Linked DNA regions of Macaca mulatta. The protein of the gene in region 1 interacts with the protein of each later gene in a pairwise test. Links are inferred from orthologs where the notes say so. Each region holds a gene or a part of one and is shown in the gene's direction. Other genes may lie near its edges.

What was found.
Region 2: the proteins of TPM3 (region 1) and LURAP1 interact in binary tests that used the Homo sapiens proteins (3 or more experiments, as listed by UniProt). The two-hybrid records come from large-scale screens. The link is inferred for Macaca mulatta from reciprocal best matches to the Homo sapiens genes TPM3 and LURAP1.
Region 3: the proteins of TPM3 (region 1) and HSF2 interact in binary tests that used the Homo sapiens proteins (3 or more experiments, as listed by UniProt). The two-hybrid records come from large-scale screens. The link is inferred for Macaca mulatta from reciprocal best matches to the Homo sapiens genes TPM3 and HSF2.
Region 4: the proteins of TPM3 (region 1) and THAP1 interact in binary tests that used the Homo sapiens proteins (3 or more experiments, as listed by UniProt). The two-hybrid records come from large-scale screens. The link is inferred for Macaca mulatta from reciprocal best matches to the Homo sapiens genes TPM3 and THAP1.
Region 5: the proteins of TPM3 (region 1) and IKBIP interact in a two-hybrid assay, tested with the Homo sapiens proteins (2 studies listed by BioGRID). The two-hybrid records come from large-scale screens. The link is inferred for Macaca mulatta from reciprocal best matches to the Homo sapiens genes TPM3 and IKBIP.

The regions. Positions count from the first base shown.
Region 1 is NC_133406.1:112,847,996-112,852,213, forward strand, and holds the start of TPM3 (tropomyosin alpha-3 chain), read left to right. Parts: upstream 1-1,413; 5' UTR 1,414-1,424; coding exon 1,425-1,556; intron 1,557-4,218. UniProt on the Homo sapiens protein: Binds to actin filaments in muscle and non-muscle cells. Plays a central role, in association with the troponin complex, in the calcium dependent regulation of vertebrate striated muscle contraction.
Region 2 is NC_133406.1:194,374,355-194,378,392, reverse strand, and holds the start of LURAP1 (leucine rich adaptor protein 1), read left to right. Parts: upstream 1-1,227; 5' UTR 1,228-1,293; coding exon 1,294-1,491; intron 1,492-4,038. UniProt on the Homo sapiens protein: Acts as an activator of the canonical NF-kappa-B pathway and drive the production of pro-inflammatory cytokines. Promotes the antigen (Ag)-presenting and priming function of dendritic cells via the canonical NF-kappa-B pathway.
Region 3 is NC_133409.1:27,436,434-27,439,944, forward strand, and holds part of HSF2 (heat shock factor protein 2), read left to right. Parts: intron 1-46; coding exon 47-108; intron 109-1,010; coding exon 1,011-1,098; intron 1,099-3,025; coding exon 3,026-3,174; intron 3,175-3,511. UniProt on the Homo sapiens protein: DNA-binding protein that specifically binds heat shock promoter elements (HSE) and activates transcription. In higher eukaryotes, HSF is unable to bind to the HSE unless the cells are heat shocked.
Region 4 is NC_133413.1:44,941,704-44,945,939, reverse strand, and holds the start of THAP1 (THAP domain-containing protein 1), read left to right. Parts: upstream 1-1,427; 5' UTR 1,428-1,647; coding exon 1,648-1,718; intron 1,719-1,844; exon of another isoform or gene 1,845-1,998; coding exon of another isoform or gene 1,999-2,048; intron 2,049-4,236. UniProt on the Homo sapiens protein: DNA-binding transcription regulator that regulates endothelial cell proliferation and G1/S cell-cycle progression.
Region 5 is NC_133416.1:105,938,091-105,942,280, reverse strand, and holds the start of IKBIP (inhibitor of nuclear factor kappa-B kinase-interacting protein), read left to right. Parts: upstream 1-1,382; 5' UTR 1,383-1,470; coding exon 1,471-1,649; intron 1,650-4,190. UniProt on the Homo sapiens protein: Target of p53/TP53 with pro-apoptotic function.

The DNA.
Region 1 (4,218 bases):
AATTTATTTTTAGAAATGAGGTCTTGCTATATTGCCCAGGCTGGTTTTGAACTCCTGGTCTCAAGCCATCTCCCATCTCAGCCTCCCAAAGTCCTAGGCTTACAGTCATGAGCTACCACACTCAGCTGATGATTAAATTACCAAGTCCTGAATCATTCCAAGGTTTGGAGGGGCTGGAAGGTTGGTTAATTTGGTGCATAATGACACTCAAAAGTAACAGGGACCTGTAATCCCAGCACTTTGGGAGGCCGAGGCGGGTGGATCACGAGGTCAGGAGATCGAGACCATCCTGGCTAACACGGTGAAACCCTGTCTCTACTAAAACTACAACAAAATTAGCCGGACGTGGTGGAGGGCGCTACTTGGTGGGGTGAGGCAGGAGAATCGCTTGAACCCGGGAGGGGGAGCTTACAGTGAGCCGAGATCGCGCCACTGCACTCCAACCTGGGCGACAGAGGAGACTCCGTCCCAAAAAATAAAAACCAAAACAAAAATAATAAAAGAACAGGGAGCCCGATGGGGCGGCGTGCACCTGTAGTCCCAGCTACTCCGGAGGCTAAGGTAGGAGGCTCGCTTGAGCCCAGGAGTTCGAAGCTGTAGTGAGTTGTGATCTGGCCACCGCCTGCACTCCAGCAACAGAGCGAGATCTTGTCTCAAAAAAAATAAATAAAAAAGGGAAAAGTCTGTTCCAAATAGCACTTAAGTTCATACCATGCCAAATAGAATGAGAATTTGTGCCAACTTGCCACATTCCTTCCACTCCGACAGTTCCATTCATTGACTTCCAGGAGACGGGAGAGAGAACCTACCTACCTGAGTTGACTTTGAAAGGAGACTGAGTGGGGCTTTTTGAACCCTGAGGCCCAGAAAGTCTTTTAGACTTTTCTTAGAACTTGGTTTTGGAGTTTGTCGTGGGGTGAGTGGAAGCAGAGACTTGTAGGATGTTTATATTGTGGAGCAAATACAGTGAGCGGTGAGGGGTATCGGTATTGTGGGAGTGAGGGGCCAACTGCGGGAGTGGGGGCCAACTGCGGGAGTGTAAGGTCAGCGGACTACCTGCAAAGGGCGCAACCATTGTGGGCAGCCAGCCTGGCGGGAAAGGCTAGACCACGAAGCGCCGCCCAGTTATCATGGTAACATTCCCTCGTCCCAACCCCGTCCCAGTTTACTGGCCCAAGGTAAGGCCGGGAGCAGTAGCCCGGGGCAACTGGGAGGATCTACTCCCTGCCGCGGCTCTCCCTCCAGTGGACTGCCTTCCCGCCTGCCTGGCGGTGGGAGGGCGCGGCAGAGGAACGTCACATCCGGGCGGGTTGGTAAGTTCCGGTATTTCAGGGCGTAGCAGGCGGAAGTAAGGGTGAGAGGAGGCTGCAACGCCGAGCGGAGGAGGCAGGAACCGGAGCGCGAGCAGTAGCTGGGTGGGCACCATGGCTGGGATCACCACCATCGAGGCGGTGAAGCGCAAGATCCAGGTTCTGCAGCAGCAGGCAGATGATGCAGAGGAGCGAGCTGAGCGCCTCCAACGAGAAGTTGAGGGAGAAAGGCGGGCTCGGGAACAGGTACGGAGATGGCGAGGCTCATGAGGGAGGGTCAGGCGCTGGAGTAGCCGGCAAGCGGAATAAGGTCCCTTTTGCCGTGGAGCATGGTCCTCTGAGGGCCAGCCTCCTCGGAGATGAAGTTGGGAGCGCGGAGGATGGGTGGGGCTCAGCTCCAGTAGGACAGCAAGCGGACGAGGGGGAAACTGAGTGCTCGGTCGAGCAGGCTTGACCTTTGAAGGAATTGAGGCACAGGGTTTGGGGTGTGGCCTTCCTCCTCTTTTTTTTTTCTCCACCTCATTCATTCAGTCCCTCTGATCCGGGCGCGGCCGGGGGAGGGGCTCAGCGGCTTCTCCCTCCCCCACTTCCCCCTGGAGGGTGGGAGAACTTTGCTCTTGCTTGAGGTTTCCTGCCCAAGGGGTTACAGTCGGTGGGTGCTTTTTTGTTCGGGGAGAGGAAGTACTGAGCCTCCTGTGAAATGGTGAGGGCTGTGGGGTGGGAACCGCCGGAAAGACCCCGGCCTGCCTGCTGGCAGCTTTTCCGCTCCCTCTTCTTGCTCAGGAAATGAGGCAGCAGTTGGCTGAGAGGAAGCGCGGTGCCCTCCCTCCCTGGAGGAGCTCGAGGCCACAGGACCGCCTCTCAACCTCTGGCCAGGGGCCCTTCCTCTTACGGGGTGCTCTTGCAGCTGCTACACCCACTCAATCTACGTGAAACGGCAGGGGAGGGGATAGTACTTCTCTCAACATTAGTGCAAATATAGGAGCCAACCAAACTTGCCTGGCCCTACCCACAATGACCTGGAAGTGTGATCAGTGCAAGCCGAACTGGTTAAGAACATTTCTTCCAAGCAGAGCTGATAAGCGAGTGTATGGCAGAGAATTACATGGCGTGCCAGTCTCAAGGTTTCTGATTGACTTGGGCAATTTGGTGGAGACAGAATAATGAATTCCAGGTGACTCTAGTGGAATATTTGTTCAACTGAAAGTGGGAACATAAAATGTTGGTGGAATGAACGGTGATTCTGGTGATTTTTTTCTTTTTTGTTTTTTTGAGACAGAGTCTCACTCTGTCGCCCAGGCTGGAGTGCAATGGCGTGATCACGGCCCATTGCAACCTCCGCCTCCCTGGTTCAAGTGATTCTCCTGCCTCAGCCTCCTGAGTAGCTGGGATTACAGGAGCGTGCCACCACGTCCAGCTAATTTTTTGTATTTTTAGTAGAGACGGGGGTTTCGCCATGTTGGCGAGGCTGGTCTCGAACTCCTGACCTCAGGTGATCCACCCAACTCTGCCTCCCAAAGTGCTGGGTTTACAGGTGTGATCCACCGTGCCCAGCCTATTCTAGTGATTTCTTTAAACGACTTTCTGATTAAAAGAGGTTGATTAATTTTAGTGTAAGCCATAAGATTTTCCAGGGTCGGCAGAGCTTGCAGTGAGCTGAGATCACGCCACTGCACCTGGGCGACAGAGCAAGACTGTTTCAATTAAAAAAAAAAAAGATTTTCCAGGGTCTAGGGTGTTGTCTAATAGATGGAGCTGATACGAGTTGAGGTTTTAGAGGATCTTGAGAGAGTAAAGTAACTGTTGCTAAAATTTAAGATCCAGTGAAAGAACTCATGTGGTTTATTCTTTGTTCTTTCCCTTGGTAAGTTTTTATTTTTGTTTTTCTTTTTGGCTGCTCCTCTGGGAAATAACTGAGAATGTTTTTGGGAGGGAGGGGGTGTATTTCAGAAAAGCATGGTAATTGGTGGACATCTGCCCTCTAGGTTAAATACTTAAAGATTGTTGGAATACTCACTTATTTTTATAACTGGGCATGGAGATGCTGGGATGGGAGCTTGTTGTCTTCCTCAGTCACCTTTTTCTAGGTAGATTTTTTTCTTCTGTTCAGTTTGCCAGCAACTTCTCATTATCTGTTCAAGTGAGATGGACTGGCTGGGTGACTTTATGGCCAATGGTACTTTCTCATCTCCTTTCTTCTGGAGACCAGATAGCTTTAAAGAGGAAGACAGGCTAGCCAGAGGAACTGGCCATGTGTTGAGCTGCAGAGTCTTAGGCTCAGTATTTAAATATGGACATTCTAGGAGTAGTTCTAAGGTGGGTGGTTCCTGCCCCCCACCCCCCCCTCTTTTTTTTTTTTTTTAGATGGAGACTTGCTCTGCTGTCCAGCCTGGAATGCAGTTGCATGATCTCTGCTCACTGCAACCTCCACCTCCCAGGCTCAGGTGATTCTCCTGTCTCAGCCTCCTGAGTAGCTGGGATTACAGGCATCCACCACTACACCCAGCTAATTTTTTTTTTAGTAGAGATGGGTTTCACCATGTTGGCCAGGCTGGTTTCGAACTCCTGACCTCAAGTGATCTGCCTGCCTCAGCCTCCCAAAGTGGTGAGATTACAGGCATGAGCCACTGCACTCGGCCTGGGGTGATGTTTCTTAAGCTACTCTCACTCAGAGCCTGCCAAATTTGCTTATTGAGCTGAGGTCTAGTGAGGAAGTCCTCAGAATGGGGAAGTAGGATAATAGTTAAATATTGATGAAATCATTACTTCTACTCCCCAGCCTGAAGAAGCTTAATCTTTTGACTTTCTGCTCTGCTGAATTTTGAACCCCTACTGAGGAGACACCTGTGGGATGGGAGGAGGGTTGTTTGGTCTACCTGTTATCCTCTTAAGGCATTCTGCTGGAATG
Region 2 (4,038 bases), about 82 Mb from region 1:
AAAAAACAAAAAACCCCCCAAAAACTAAAAGTTACTTTTTGCCAATTGGGAGTGGGCCTAGAGGTGTGAAAGGGTAGGGCAGGGGTAACTATCTTCTCATTGTAAATCCTTCTGCAACCACGGGCTGGAATTACTTGAATTACAAGCCTACACAAACCAAAGTTTTCATGACTGTTCATTACCTGTTAAATAAAACCCAAACATCTCAGAACCATCTTCTGTAACCTTGTTATCAAAGTGTGGTCCCTTATTACTTGAAGCGTGGACCAGCAGCATGGCCATGACCTGGGAGCTTATTAGAAATGCAGGATCTTGGCGGGGCCCAGTGGCTCACACCTGTAATCCCAGTACTTTGGGAAGCCGAGACAGGCAGATCACTTGAGATCTGGAGTTCAAGACCAGCCTGGCCAACATGGTGAAACCCCGTCTCTACTAAAAATACAAAAATATTAGCTGGGCGTGGCGGTGCATGCCTGTAATCCCAGCTACTCAGGAGGCAGAGGCAGGAGAATCGCTGGAACCGGGGAAGGCAGTGGTTTGCAGTGAGCCGAGATCGTGCCACTGCACTCCATCCTGGGCAACAGAGCAAGACTCTGTCTCAAAAAAAAAAAAAAAAAAAAAAAAGGCAGGATCTCAGGCCCCACCCCGATTTACAAAATCAGAACTGCATTTTAATACGATCCGCAGATAATTCATATGCACAGTCAAGTTTAAGGAGGAGGATCTTGCTTGTAAGCTCAATGTGGACCTCTTCAGCTTCAATACTGGTTGCCCCTTTCTACTCCGTTAGTCTGAATTCTAGCCCCTGGGGTGTTGTGTGTGTGTCTGACTAAAATCCAGCCATCGTTTTAGACCCAATTCCTCTGCTCCAGGAAGACTTCCAAGCCTTCTGCAGCTCTCTGTTACCACTGTTCCTTAAACTCCCACATCTCTGACTGAAGCTGCTTAGACTTCATTCTGCAAACATGTATTGGGCGCCTGCTGTGTGCCTGGCTGGATTCAGTGCCAGGGTGGGGCGAAGGCGCTGAGGTCTCCGAGTGCTCTTTCAGGTCCAACTCCAGAACCGCCCAGCCCCACGCAATCCAGGGCCGGAGGTTGTGTGCGCAGCACTCGAATATACCCACGGACAGTGCTGCGCGGCTTTTCTGAGTGTTACGGCACCCTCCTGCCGCCCGCGCGGCTCTCGGGCGGGGACCCACCGGTTTTGCTCCGCTTTAGCAGCGGCGAAGGGAGGACCCCCGCGAGCCGGTCCCTGGCGTCCGGTTGCCCAGCCCTTTTCAGGCTTGGGCCCGCATGGAGGGAACCGTGGAGTCCCAGACGCCTGACCTGCGGGATGTGGAGGGTAAGGTGGGCAGGAAGACCCCTGAAGGGCTGCTCCGTGGGCTGCGAGGCGAGTGTGACCTAGGAACCTCTGGCGCCCTGCTGCTCCCAGGGACGCCTAGCACCGGCCACGACTTGGGGGACAAGATCATGGCGCTGAAGATGGAGCTGGTGAGTGCAGACTCCATGGGCCAAGGGGACGAGTCCCCAGTTTAGGGCCAGGAGGGACGAACTCATGCTCTCAGAGTTAAGCTGGAGAGGAGGTAGTTAAAACTCTCCACCTAACTGCTCAGAATCCCTCCCAGATCAATCCGTAAACGCTGGGGTGGAGATGGAGTGACATCCATTAATTGTCCCCCAAGAGTGAGTGGGGGTGTTGATAGGTCCTGAGGAATTGGGGTGGGAGCCGTGGGTTTTGGAAGTTATTCCTGCCAAATAATTGGGAGGAGAGAGATGAGTACTGGGAAGTACTGAGAACCCAACGCAGCACAAATTCCCCCCGCCCGTATGGGCCACCTATTCCCCCCCAGTCCCCGTTGTAAGGCAACCGGTTTTTTCTCCTTCTGCTAACCGGGAAAGGGTTTAGTTCCCGTGAGGCCCGCAGTGTTCAGCACAGAAAAGATGTGGGTAAAGGGGCCTATCTGCTGTAAACTGTCTGGACCAGGGGCACTGAAAACCTTCTCCATTTCCTCTACATCCCCCAGCCCTACTTAAAATAATGGAAAGTTCCTAGACCCATAGCAGGAACAGAGAGTAACAGCACCATTGGTGCTGATTCCCTCACCTCAGACTCAGTCTCCTCCCATCCAATCTCCCAGGTAAACTGGATATTTGGATCTCATCTGCACATTCTTGGGGAGAAGAGGAAACAGCAACCTTCCCCTTTCTCTGTTGCTGCTGGTCTAGATTCAGAGCCAAAAGGGCAGCCAAGGCCCTGGCATGTTCCTCAGGGCCCTGATTCCGGTGAAGTGGGTGATTTACACCTGCCACTACTTTGCAGCCAGTTCTGGGGAACTGAGGAATTGCTATCAGCTTCCTGGCTTACAACCAGGAGCCCACAGTGAATATGTCAGCTAATAAGTCTTTCTGGACCCCCACTGTGTGCGCAGCCTGTGCCAAGCTGGTCTGTGAAGGAGCAGGGGAAGGAAGTCATGGGGGCTCTTAGACCAGCCAGGGCTCTAATGCCTGAGCTGAGAGACTGGGAAGAGAGTCTGGTGGGTGGAGCAGCCAGGAAAGGCCCTCTGGGAGAAGGACTTGAATGCCAAGTGTGCACTTGGCCTTGAAGGTTGGAGGTGAGTGCCAAATTCTCCAGAGCAAGGCTGTGACTGTCCCCACCTAAGCAGGGGTTTGCCTTTGTCTCGCTGTACAAACTTTAGCTCAAGGCCTAGTAAGAGCCTACCTAGACTGTCTAGTTGCTTTGAAAACTAACTTTCACCCAGCACATGTGCCAGGCAGCTTGCTGAGCACTTTACTTGATACTCTCTTCATCTCCACAGTAACCATGTTAAGTAAGTGATATTTTATAGATGAAGAAACTGAGGCACAGGGTGGGCATGGTGGCTCACGCCTGTAATCCCAGCACTTTGGGAGGCTGAGGCAGGCAGATCACTTGAGCCCAGGAGTTTGAGACCAGCCTGGGCAACAAAGCAAGACTCTGTCTCTGCAAAAATTAGATGGGTGTTGTGGTGCATGCCTGTAGTCCCAGCTACTCTGGAGGCAGAGGCAGGGGGATCACTTGAGCCCAGGAAGAGGAGGTTGCAGTGAGCTGAAATCGCACCACTGCACTCCAGACTGGGTGACAGAGCTCAGAGCTAGACCCTGTCTCAAAAAAAGAGAGGGAAGGAGGGAAGGAAGGGAAGAAGGGAGGAAGGGAGGGAGGGAGGATAAAAGAAAAGAGAAAAGAAAACAGAGGCACAGGGAGTTTAATAACTGCCCAAGATCACACAAAAAGCATGGCCATGATTTGAACCCAGATCATCTGACTGCACTTTGCATGTTTACCTTTGAGACCTGCTTTGTGCCAGATAGTCTAAACACATTTTATGTCATTGAAATGAGAAAACTGGTCATCATTTCTCCCATCTTACAGATAAAACATGCTTGCAGATTCTGAACTCACATAGGGAGTCAGTGGAAGAGCCACGCCTAGTCTCTCTGGCTCTCTTTTCTGCCTTGGTGGAAACGATCTGTAAACTTTAAGGGGCTGCATTTAACTTTTGATTTTGTCTCTCTGTATTCTTGACCCTGCTTGCCTGGGGCCTGAGGCTGCCCGAGAAAGGGCACAAGGGAGGGAGCCTTCTGGGGCCAGAACGAGGAGAGATCCCCATCCTATTTTTCTCCCTCCTCAGGACAGGATGTTATTAATATTAATCTCTTCCTGTGCTCTGCCCTGCCTACTGGGTTGCACCCAGGAAGGACAAGCAGTGGGGCAAGGGGTTTCCCTTGGGGCTAATGAAGGCAGGACTGGTTCAAGCCCTCTAAGGACTGTCCTTCAATTGTTCCTCTCCCAGCTTTCCTTGCACAAAGCAGGGAGGCCTACCCTTGAGGCCAAGGTCAGTCCGCCTCTAGGCCTCATCCCTCCTGCTTTCTTCCTCTACCCACCATTCAAAGGTTGAGTGAACAAGCCAGACTGGGATATGTGGGAATGGGAAACAGTGGCAACCTCTTCTTAGTTCTCCCACCCAAAGAACTGTTGCTATGACAACCCACCTCCACAGA
Region 3 (3,511 bases), on another chromosome or scaffold:
AGAATTAACAGTATAATGAAAGAATTTTTGTTTATATTTTTTTCAGATTGTCCAGTTTATTGTTACATTGGTTCAGAATAACCAACTTGTGAGTTTAAAACGTAAAAGGTAAGTTTTTATGATATAGCATTATGGCCTGTATATAGACAGTCAGACTTGTTAGTGTTTAACTATGAGTAGCCTACATTAGCTGAGTATATGCTTGTTGTCCCAAAAGAACAATTCTCCTTAGTTAAATTATACTCTTAAAATCTCTAGAGTGATATTAGTTTTTAGTTTTATCATTCTACTGATGTTTGTGAGAGATAAGGATAGCCTAAATGGTCACTTTATAGACATACGTACAGTTAATAAAGAATATTCACTTTTCATTCACATTATTAAAGTAGCATTAGAAGGCCTGAGTGAGGGAAATTTAAAAAGAGGCCATATGTTCAAAAGAAAACATCAACCTTTGTTTTACTTGACCTCTCTTAGTTTAATCCGCTCATAGTCTTTTTAAATCTGTATTTCAACCATGGGTTGTGATACCTGTGTCAGTAGCTACTATCGTCACAGCGAAAACATTAGAAGAATAATGGACAAAAGGAATAGTTGAAAGGAAAAAATGATCTGTAACACTAAGATTTGGGGAAAACTTGATTATGATCAGAGCTTTATGACCTTAACTACTTCCACTAATTATTTCTTATGATATTATCTGTTTTTTTCTATATAAATACAGTTCATAGAGTTGTGTAGTTCAGTAAGCAATGAAGTATAACTGGAGAGAATAGTTTATTATAACAAAAAGAGTGTAGAAAAATGGAGAATTGAAAGTCGTAGATATTCTCATCCAGCAGTTTCTGTTCCTAAGATGTAATCATTTTTAAGTTTATTTATTGTTACTGAACCTTTTTATGCATTATTAAAGTGAGTGTGCATGTGTGTGTGTTTGGGTAAGTTAATAGAGAGGGAGTTTAAATTCCTTGTATGTTTGTCACTGAACTGCATATTCTTCTGGTTTTCAGGCCTCTACTTCTAAACACTAATGGAGCCCAAAAGAAGAACCTGTTTCAGCACATAGTCAAAGAACCAACTGATAATCACCATCATAAAGTAATTTTTTAGTTAGAATCTATTTTATATTTATTGTGTCACACTAAATTTTATTATGGCAGTGTTTCATGCATTCAAATAAGTGTGGTGAATAACAATTCAAGTGTTCATCCCACAGCTTTGTTAAACTGTGACATTTTTTATTATTTACTTTCGATTATTGTAAGAAATAAATCATCACAAATCTAGTTGTTCCAGTTGCCTGTTTCCAAGTTTTTCTCTCTCCCCCTCTCTTGTCTCACCTCTTTACTGTCCCTGCTTACCTTAGAGGTAGTCACTATCTTGAATTAGTATCTATCATTCTCATGGCCATTTTGTATGTGTGAATCCAGGAGCAGTACTTGGTATTATTTTGCATATATATAAACTTCATATAAATAATATAATTTTGTGCATATCATTTTACAGTGTGGCTTTTTTTTAACTTGGTGTTGCTTTTGAGATTTATTAAACATAGAGATTTAGTTTATTCATTTCTTTTTTTTTGTCTTGTTTTTTTTTGTTTGTTTTATTTTTTTGAAACAGGGTTTCAGTCTGTCACCCAGCCTGGAGTGTAGTGGTACGATCTTGACTCACTGCAACCTCCACCTCCTGGGCCCAAGCAATTCTCTTGCTTCAGTCTCCTGAGTAGCTGGGACTACAGGTGTGTGCCACCACACCTGGCTAATTTTTGTATTTTTTGTAGAGATGGATTTTCATCATGTCACCTAGACTGGTCTCGAACTCCCAGACTCAAGCCATCTGCCTGCCTCAGCCTCCCAAAGTTTTGGGATTGCAGGCATGAGCCACTGCACCTGGCTCATTCATTTTAATATAATAATTGAATATTTTGAAAATATAATAATTTAATGTGATTATATATTCTTACATTGGTTATTTTATTTTCAACTTTTTTTTAAATTAATGTGCACCAACTAGACTGCTTTTTACTCCAGCAATTTAAATTTTTACCTTCATTTTGTCACAGGCTTTCCGGATAATTTGTCAGATTTCTATCCAGTGGCAAATTAGTCCAGTCCAAAGTCCAGATCGTTTTTATTATCTTTTTGTTACTACTTTCAAACTTCAGAATTCAAAATAGTTCTTCAGATTTATTATTAAAGTAACAAGATTTTTGTTCTTGGACAATCAAACTTAACCTCACGTCTGATTTCTTTTTCCACTACTGTTAGAAAATAATCAAGCATACCTATTTTGTTTTTAGAATTGAAGGCTCATGTAAGTGGATGAAGAGTTTTACATTTTTGACTGGGTTTATATATTTTAAAGTACTTCACATCCTTTGCCTCTTTATTATCTAGTATTGGAATTTACAGATTTTTGCATTTTAATAATGACTTTAGTTTGCTTTACAGGATTGAACTTACTTTGCTTATACAGCTATAGCCTGAATATATCTGTAGATTAAGTTTAAAAAAATCATTGCTAAAAAGCCAAGCTAACCTGTAACTGAGATAGGTGAAGTGCATTTTTTTTCTCTTAGTGAAGCTATTTAATGAATAAGAATAAAACATATTTCAAAACAGAGCAGGTTGAGCTGAAACAATATCCCTGTCAGCACGGTGGCTGTCTGGTTGTGCTTGAAATTTCTGGTGAAGTCCTAAGACTTTTTTACTCTTTAGGCATAAAAAATACTGTAAAATTTGAAGATCTTTCCATAGAAACATTTTTAGGGATGTCATCTTCAGGGTCCCTTACAGTAAAAGAAGTAGTTAAGTGTAGAATGCAGTTAATATACCTCATACCTCTGTGAATTGGTGCTACTAGTACCAATTAGTATGTAAGTTCCATAAGAGCAGAGAACATACTTGTTTTGCATACCCCGAGATTCAGTAAGTAGTAGTTGCCCAGTTATTTTGTAAATGATATCTTGTTTGGTAGTCAATGATTTTGATTTTTAGATATATTTTTCTCTCTGAATTTTTAGGTTCCACACAGTAGGACTGAAGGTTTAAAGCCAAGGGAGAGGATTTCAGATGACATCATTATTTATGATGTTACTGATGATAATGCAGATGAAGAAAATATCCCAGTTATTCCAGAAACTAATGAGGATGTTATATCTGATCCCTCCAAGTAAGGAGTTTGTGAGATAAAATGTATGAAAATATTGATTACTTTTCTTATTACAGAGCAAAATTCAAAACTACTTTGTTCTTTGAAAGACTAACAATCTTTCTCACATTTGGATTATTAAACTGAATAATTAAGCTAAATTATTCAACCAGATAAAGCCTCACCTCCTCTTCCTCTCAAAGGAGGTAATACTGAAAATTAATTGATTTTTATTTTGTAGTTAAACACTTCTCATTGAATCGTTGTGGTCTTCTATACTATGAAGTACCAATATTGTGATTAAGCTGCTCGCTCAAGAAATTTAAGCCTTTCAGTATGTGGTATGGGAGAGAGTTTC
Region 4 (4,236 bases), on another chromosome or scaffold:
ACATGTGCTGTGCTACAAGGGTTTGTGATAAAGGATTAATTACTATATTATGTAAGAATCGATATCTTTATTTATTTATGAGACAGAGTCTTACTCTTGTCGCCCAGGCTGGAGTGCAGTGGTGCAAGCACGGCTCACTGCAACCTCCGCCTTCCCAGATTCAAGCGATTCTCCTGCCTCAGCCTCCAGAGTAGCTGAGATTCGAGGCATGTGCCAACCACACCCGGTTAATTTTTGTATTTTTAGTAGAGACGGGTTTCACCATGTTAGCCAGGCTAGTCTTAAACTCCTGACCTCAAGTGATCCGCCCGCCTCAGCCTTCCAAAGTGCTCGGATTACAGGCGTGAGGCACTGTGCCCAGTCCATTATTATCTTTAAAGCAAAATTAGGAATGCTTCTGTTCTCAAAATATCGAGATATCTGGACACTTCGAAGTCTGGGTCTGTTTAGTAAACATTATCAATCTGTTGCCTTAATGGTATACATCTAGAGGCTAGGAACACCTAACTTTCCGGGAATGCAGCCCAGCAAGTCCCAGCCTCATTTTCCTAGCCCTCACTCAACACAGAGTCGCTCTATTTCGAACCCCTCTGACATATTCTCTCTCAGATGTGAAAACTGCTGCAGCAGCTCCCTATTTGCAACACCGCACATGGAAATCACAGCAATGGACAGCCCTTCACAAAAGCTTCTGGGGAGGGAGGGCCTGGTGGCTCAACTCCCGTAATCCCAACCCACTGGGAGGTCGAGATAGGTGGATCCCTTCAGCTCGAGTTCTAGACTGGCCTGGGCAACGTGGGGAGATCCTGCCTCTATTTTTTTAAAAAATTACATATATATATATACACACACACGTATATATGCATACATATATACATATATATAATGCTTCTGCGTTGGCAATTCAGATGATTTGGCGAGTGTGTCTTTTTTCATTGCTAAAAACCTGTCACGTTGGCTCTCAGAGACTTGTGATGCCTGAAGACACAGGTAATGGGAAAAAGATCAGCATTCTGGGAAAAGGTTCCACAATTTTATTAATCATACACCATCTGTGTCCGCCCTTTTAGAGAAATGGGCGCAATCAGACAACGACCTCGGCTTTACACCTGTTCTCCATGAGGCCCTAGTTGTTTCCTACTGTAAGCCGCCCCAGAAAAGCTCCGCATCAATTAACCCACGGGAACAGCCCGGGCTGGATGATGCCCCTGGAATCCAGCCTCCCGCCGCGCCTCCTCCCCCGCAAGCTGTTCCTTCCTGCCTACCGGAAGTTCAGGGCTCCGCCCACTTCCGCAACTCTGAAGCCACCGCCGGAAACACCTGGCCTCAGCCAATAGTTAGCTTCCCAGGAATCGTTACCTCTGACCTCGGGGCTAATCAGAGACAGTGGGACGCACCCCTCGCGAGAGGTGAGGTTGAAGCTGCCTCCGCCATCTTGGAGATGGGAGACGGGCGATGGCTGTGGTCCTTCTGCTAATGCAAACAACAAAACGGGCACACTAGTCACCCCAGAGGGAGGCCACCATTACTGTAACTGTTGGCCAAAGCTACAAAAGAGCGAGGGTGTCCAACCGAGCGCGGCGACACTGAAAGCAGCTTCCCCTGCCTTCTGCGGCGGCAGAAGTGAAGTGCCTGAAGACCGGAAGGATGGTGCAGTCCTGCTCCGCCTACGGCTGCAAGAACCGCTACGACAAGGACAAGCCCGTTTCTTTCCACAAGTGAGGACCCTGCGCGCCTCGCGGGGCCGGTCTTAGCCAGGGTGGGGGCGCGCGACCGGCGGGGCCGGGGGCGGAGCCAGGCGCGTGTCCGCGCGAGGGGCGGGTGGGGTCTGGGGCCGGCCGCGCGAGGCGTTTCCCGCCGCGTCCTGCTGGGAACCGTCGCCCGATCGCGCGTTCTCGGCGCGCGTCTCCGCGGCGGTTGTTTCTTGCGCTCTCGGAACAGGTCCTCGTTGCAGGCTTCGCTCCAGGCCTCGGTTGACGAGTTTGGAGCCCGCGGGCGATGCCTATGGTGGCGCGGGTTTTGCCGCCACCAGGGTCACGAGCAGCCAGGTGTTGTAATAACGTCTTAGGGGTAAATTTGAAATATAAACAAAGGCCTTTCCCTTGTCGTGGATGGGAGGCCAGCATCGTAGCAATTAAGGGTTTTTTGGCTGGGAAATCCCGGAGAATTTTTGCCCCAAATCTCTAGGAACTAAGCTTTAAGGACCCTGAGTTTTGAAGAAAGCTTCAGGTACTGCCAAGATAAATCGTTATCTTTTCAGCACACAATAATGATAATATGGATAGTTACAACATGGATCATAATAAAATGACTCACACTGATCTTTATTTATTACGGCATTACCTGTGCATAGAGGAAGCTCTTTCGAAAGAAACTGCCCCACAGCTTTCAGAGCTGTCTTATCCAATAGGTAGCACAGTTAAGAGTGCTAGGATCAAAAATATTCTCTTGAAAATAGGAAAAAAAGTGCAAAGTTGCAATTACTTATGATAATCAAACGCTTGTAAAATGTGACATAACATTCAGCTGAATTTGTTTACAAATTTTAATTACATTTATGTTAAGTTTTCTTTGTAAGAATTCCTGACAACTATATGCAGATGATAGCTAAGAAATCAGATCCAGGGGTAAACTATACAAATTAGTCATAGGTAATTAGCTAATTATCTTTTATAATTAGGTAATTACAAAAGCAAAATGTTAAATATCCTTTCAATTTTTTTATTTTGGTGTGGAGCCATCTATGTTTACTAGGGGAGTGTCCATGCATTTTTTAAGTGTTTGATATCATGTGAGATGGACCCTATAGAAATAAGAGAGTGTAGAACATAGGTCTCCAGAGTAATGATGTTACCCCTTGGCGAAGGGGGTAGAACACTTACAGGATTCAGTTCAGGATATCCTAATATTGTCTCTTAATTTAATTGGAATTTCTGTAAACATGTTCTTTCGAAATGTAGGAAAAGGTCAGGTGATGGTAACAGGATTACATGTGCAGCTCCCCACCCACATTTCTGATGGCATGGCAGAAGGAATCTAAAATTATGGAAAATGTTTCACTGGCACTGGAAACAAGTTTAAGGAGGGTATTCACACGTCAGAAATAACTGTGTTTTTGGCCAGGCACAGTGGCTCATGCCTGTAATTCTCAGCACTTAGGGAGGCCTAGGTGGGCAGATCACCTGACGTCAGGATTCAAGACCAGCCTGGCCAACATGGCAAAATCCCGTCTCTACTAAAAATACAAAATACAGGCGTACGCCTGTAATCCTAGCTACCTGGGAGGCTGAGGTAGGGGAATCGCTTGAACCTGGGATATGGAGGTTGCAGTGAGCTGAGATCTTGCCCTGCACTCCAGCTTGGGTAACAGAGCCAGACTCCATGTCAAAAAAAAAAAAAAAAGAGAGAAATAACTGTTTCTGCTAGGTGTTAAACACATACGGATTGAATCAAAAGAAGAGCTAACCTGCATCTTATCCCTTATCTAAAAGAGCAGGTTTAGGGAGAGTAGATGGGAAAGATTTTAACAGAATCTCACAAACAGCTGTAAATTTGTGGTCCTTGTGCCAGGAGGCCCTAGGTACTGACTGAATTTTAGCAGCAAATGCTACCATAGTTTATGCTTACAGAGCCAGGAGGCCATAGGTACGGAATTTTACCAGCAAATGCCACCCTAGTTTATACGTATAGAGGCCATTTCCAGCTGAGATTTTCTTCTTCTCTTTTTGAGATGGAGTCTTGCTCTGTCACCAGGCTGGAGTGCAGTGGCACGATCTCGACTCACTGCAACCTCTGCCTCCCCGGTTCAAGCGATTCGCCTCAGCCTTCTGAGTAGCTGGGACTACAGGCGCGCAACACCACGCCCAGCTAATTTTTTTTTTTTTTTTTTTTTTTTTGAGACGGAGTCTGGCTCTGTCGCCTGGGCTAGAGTGCAGTGGCCGGATCTCAGCTCACTGCAAGCTCCGCCCCCCGGGTTTACGCCATTCTCCTGCCTCAGCCTCCCGAGTAGCTGGGACTACAGGCGCCCGCCGCCTCGCCCGGCTAGTTTTTTGTATTTTTTAGTAGAGACGGGGTTTCACCGTGTTCGCCAGGATGGTCTCGATCTCCTGACCTCGTGATCCGCCCGTCTCGGCCTCCCAAAGTGCTGGGATTACAGTTGTGATTACAGGCCACGCCCAGCCCCAGCTGAGATTTTCTAGGAGTACCACTTATCCCACCGTCTGCATAGTGGCAGCA
Region 5 (4,190 bases), on another chromosome or scaffold:
AATTTCCAATTTCACCTAGTCCTGTTAAACTAAAATATGCAAATCTTAAACACGTTTTAAAACTGCACAAATAATCTGAACTAAGTCTCAAAACCTTTTGTAACCCACAACAAAATGAAAAGCCAAAACTCTTCCTAGATGTAAAACAGAAAACACAGTGTACGTTCATCCATGAAAACCCTAAGTTTACTACTTCCTCGTTAGAGAATTTCTCTTCCTGGTACAGGAGCAGGATGGTTATCAAATATACCATGTCCTCAAATTATCAGTCCCTGAAACCAGCTACCGAGCCTCCAAAGAACCTGGCCCGGGGAGAAAAGCGAGGAGGTCAACTTACCCAAGCCTTTGCGCCTAGGTCTTACTGGGAAGGGCGGCACTGCCAGGACAAGACTGGGAGACTCCAGGCCGGTGGAGGGAAACGGCAACAGAGGTTTTCCACCGGGTATCAGGGGTGTGGGGCTCTGTCCCGTCACATACCCCGCGCCCCGGGGCAGGTCCGGGCCTCACAGGCGCCTCCTCTGGATCTCCGCAGCCCCGGGGCGCACGAAGACCCCCAGGGACCTCCGAAGGGTGGCGAGGTGGGCGTCCACCCACCGCAGTCTGACCCCACAGTCCCGGGGCGCCGCAGTGAGGCCTGGCCCACGGGCCGCCCTCCGGTGGAACCCACTCCTGGACACAAAGGGAGGAGGGCTCCCCGGCCTGTGGCGCCCTTCCCCCGACGGCGGCTGCACCCCGGGGGGAGCCCGGCGCTACTCCGGACGCCGCCGCGGCACCTCAAGTCTTCGCGGGTCGCCGACTGCCCAGACACTCCACCTCCGGTTCTGTCCCTTTTGCCCAGGATAGAGCAATCACGTCCACTCGCTCGCTACCTCTTCTCCACCTTTGGACAGCTGAGCAATCAAATCCCGCCGGACCCACCCAGCCCGGACTGCGCGCGCCCGCTTATGCAAATAAACACACCCGAAGCCCCAAGGGGCGGCCGCCGGCGCCGCGCACTCCCGCCACGGCTCGTGCCCGCGCTCGTAGAAGTGCCCGCCTATCCCGCGGAGGGGGCTTGGCTTCGCCTCAGGGACTGGCCGCGTTCCCATCAAGGCCTGACTCGGGCGGGGGCGGCGCGCCCGACGTGGCGCGCGCGACCCCTTTGTCCCGCCCCACCTCCTCGGGTCCCGTCGGCCTGAGCGCGCCCGGGAGTTTGAATTTCTTCGGATTTGGAGCAATATCGCAGTGGAAGGCGCTGTGGGGTGAGGTCGCCGCGCACCTCTCCTAGGGGAACTTTGGAGCTGGTAGCTGAAAGACTCAGTGAAGCAACGAGGATGGCGGGGAGAGGGAAGGGGCTGGGCTCTGGGCGGTGCCAAGTCTGTGAAGGGGCGCGGTCACCGCCCAGGGTTCCCGCGATCGCCAAGGCAGCCACGTCCTGCTACCCCTGGTGAAGAAGCTGCCCGGGGCTTCAACTTCCTAGGGCCTCCAGACATGTCTGAGGTGAAGAGCCGGAAGAAGTCGGGGCCCAAGGGAGCCCCCGCTGCGGAGCCCGGGAAGCGGAGCGAGGGCGGGAAGACCCCCGAGGACCGGGGCGGCGGAGGCGGGGGCTGGGCAGACCCCCGAACGGGCCTGAGCCTGCTGTCGCTGGGGACGTGCCTGGGCCTGGCCTGGTAAGTGGACGCGAGGCTGCCCGGGCCGGCCTCCTGTGGGCCCCCTGCTGTTTGTTCTCCCACCCGGCTCAGCATCCCCCCGGAGGTGATCCAACCCCCCAGAGCTGGGCCTTCTGTGCTCTGTCTTGACCCCAAAGGAAGGAAACAGCCCAGCCTTGTTTTTCCCTTTCGCGCGTATCTTATATCTCATTTTCCCCCGTACTGGTAGCATGCCTCTATCGCTCAGAGGGACTTGAGGCTAAAGTTTGGGAACGAGCCGCTTGTTAAGAGCTGCAGATTCGGCCACGCTTTCTGAAGCGCCCGCTTCACGTTAGAAGCGTTCACGTTGTTATAAACCGTTACTTCCTGTCCACTGTGCCCCAGTCCGGGACACATCTGCCCCACCCTACTCGCCCCATAAATGCCTAATGGAAATATTTGCAACCTTGAAATAGATCATTATGTTGGGAGACCGAGGCAGGTGGATCACTTGAAGTCAGGAGTTCGAGACTAGCCTGACCAACATGGTGAAACCCCATCTCTACCAAAAATACGAATAATCAGCCAGGCGTGGTGGTGGGCGCCTGTAGTCCCAGTTCCTCTGGAGGCCGAGGCAGGAGAATCGCTTGAACCCGGGAGGCGGAGGTTGCAGTGAGCCAAGATCACACCACTGCACTCCAGCCTGGGCGACCGAGTGAGACTCCGTCTCAAAAAAAAAAAAAAAGGAAAGAAAAAAAAAAGAAAAAGATCATTATGATCCCAAAGGAGCAAACGTTATAGTAGCAGAGCTTGGAGGAGTGCTCATATTTTGATCACCGTGCGTGCGTTATGAATTTAATTATTTTTATAATTTTATTAAGTTACAGATTGAACTTTAATATGGTAAAGCTACAAAACATAGCACTTGTGTTCACTTTAAACAGTTGCAGTTTTAAAACCAGGTAAATGGCAATATAATAGTGTCATTAGGAAAAATGAGTATTAGAAATAACCTTAAAACCAACTTGTAAGTTTTGTTTTCCCAGTCTTCTTTTTTTTTTCTGGGGTGAGGTGATAGCCCATTTCATTTTAGTAAGATTGGTACCTTAATAGAATTTTTCTCCGTTTTTCATTCGTTTGTAAAGTTAGTTAGTAAGACTGTTGTTAATCTTCCAGAGTGATAGAATTTTAGAAGAGACCCTGAACATCTAAACATTTTTGATGCTATTACATGTGGAATTATACTTTACTGGTGACTCATCCCAAATAGTGTATTTTTCAGCGTTAAAAGATTTGTTAACAGCTGGGTGTGGTGGCTCACACCTGTAATCCCAGCACTTTGGGAGGCTGAGGTGGGTGGATCACAAGATCGGGAGTTCAAGACCAGCCTGGCCAACATGGTGAAACCCTATCACTACCAAAAATACAAAAATTAGCTGGGCCTGGTGGTGCACACCTGTAATCCCAGCTACTCGAAGGTTGAGGCAGGAGAATCGCTTGAACCTGGGAGGTGGAGGTTACAGTGAGCCAAGATCTGCCACTGCACTCCAGCCTGGGTAACAGAGCGAGACTTTGCCTAAAGAAATAACGTTTTTTGTTTTGGGAAAGTTAGTTACTATTCTGGGATAAGCTTTAGTAGAAAACTAAACTTTATGGGAATAAAATTACCCTCACATCAGGAATTTGCAGTTAGTGTATTACATTGTAATGAATGTAATACATTCATTAGGAAGATTTAATTTGAACTATGTTTGCAAAATGATAAAACAATGCTATATCAAAAATTATTTTGGGGGCCGGGCGCAGTGGTTCATGCCTATAATCCCAACACTTTGGGAGACTGAGGCAAGAGAATTGCTTGAGGCCAGGAGTTTGAAACCAGCCTGGGAAACATAGTGAAACCGTGGCTAAACATTAGCCAAGTGTGGTGGTATGCGCCTGTAGTCCCAACTACTTGGGAGGCTGAGGTGAGAAGATAGCTTGAGTCTGGGAAGTCGAGGCTGCAGTAACCCATGATTATACCATTGTGCTCCAGCCTGAGAGACAGAGCAAGACCCTGTCTCTCTATAATATATGTATTATATGTATTTTTATGGGCAGATTCTATAATTATTATTTAAATAGTTGCCTCTTAGTTGCTCTTATTAAATCTTTTGCTGCAAAAATTGAAGCATATGTCCTTTGGTCGCTGTTTATGGCAAAACATTTATTCATAGTAAATTTCGAAATAAAAATGTATCCCCATAAGACATTTGTAAACATTTTCCAAATAAAAAGCAAGTATTTGGCATCTTAAAATACTTAAAAGCTCACTAGAATTTTGACAAAGCCATTGAGATCTTTACCACTATAAAACACATAATTCAGCATCTAAAAGTAGGTCCATCAAATCTTTATTAAATGCTTTCTGTACTGACACGGCCCTGGTGGTTAAAATACAAGTGCATATGTGTGCCTGTCTGTGTATTCTTAAATACTGCTTACTCTCAGTCTTCATCTTATTAAGTTGGAGGGAAAAAATCTGAACCCTTCCACTGCCCAAGGAGGATTTCAAGGAATTGCACTATATCATTGTCTTCAGAC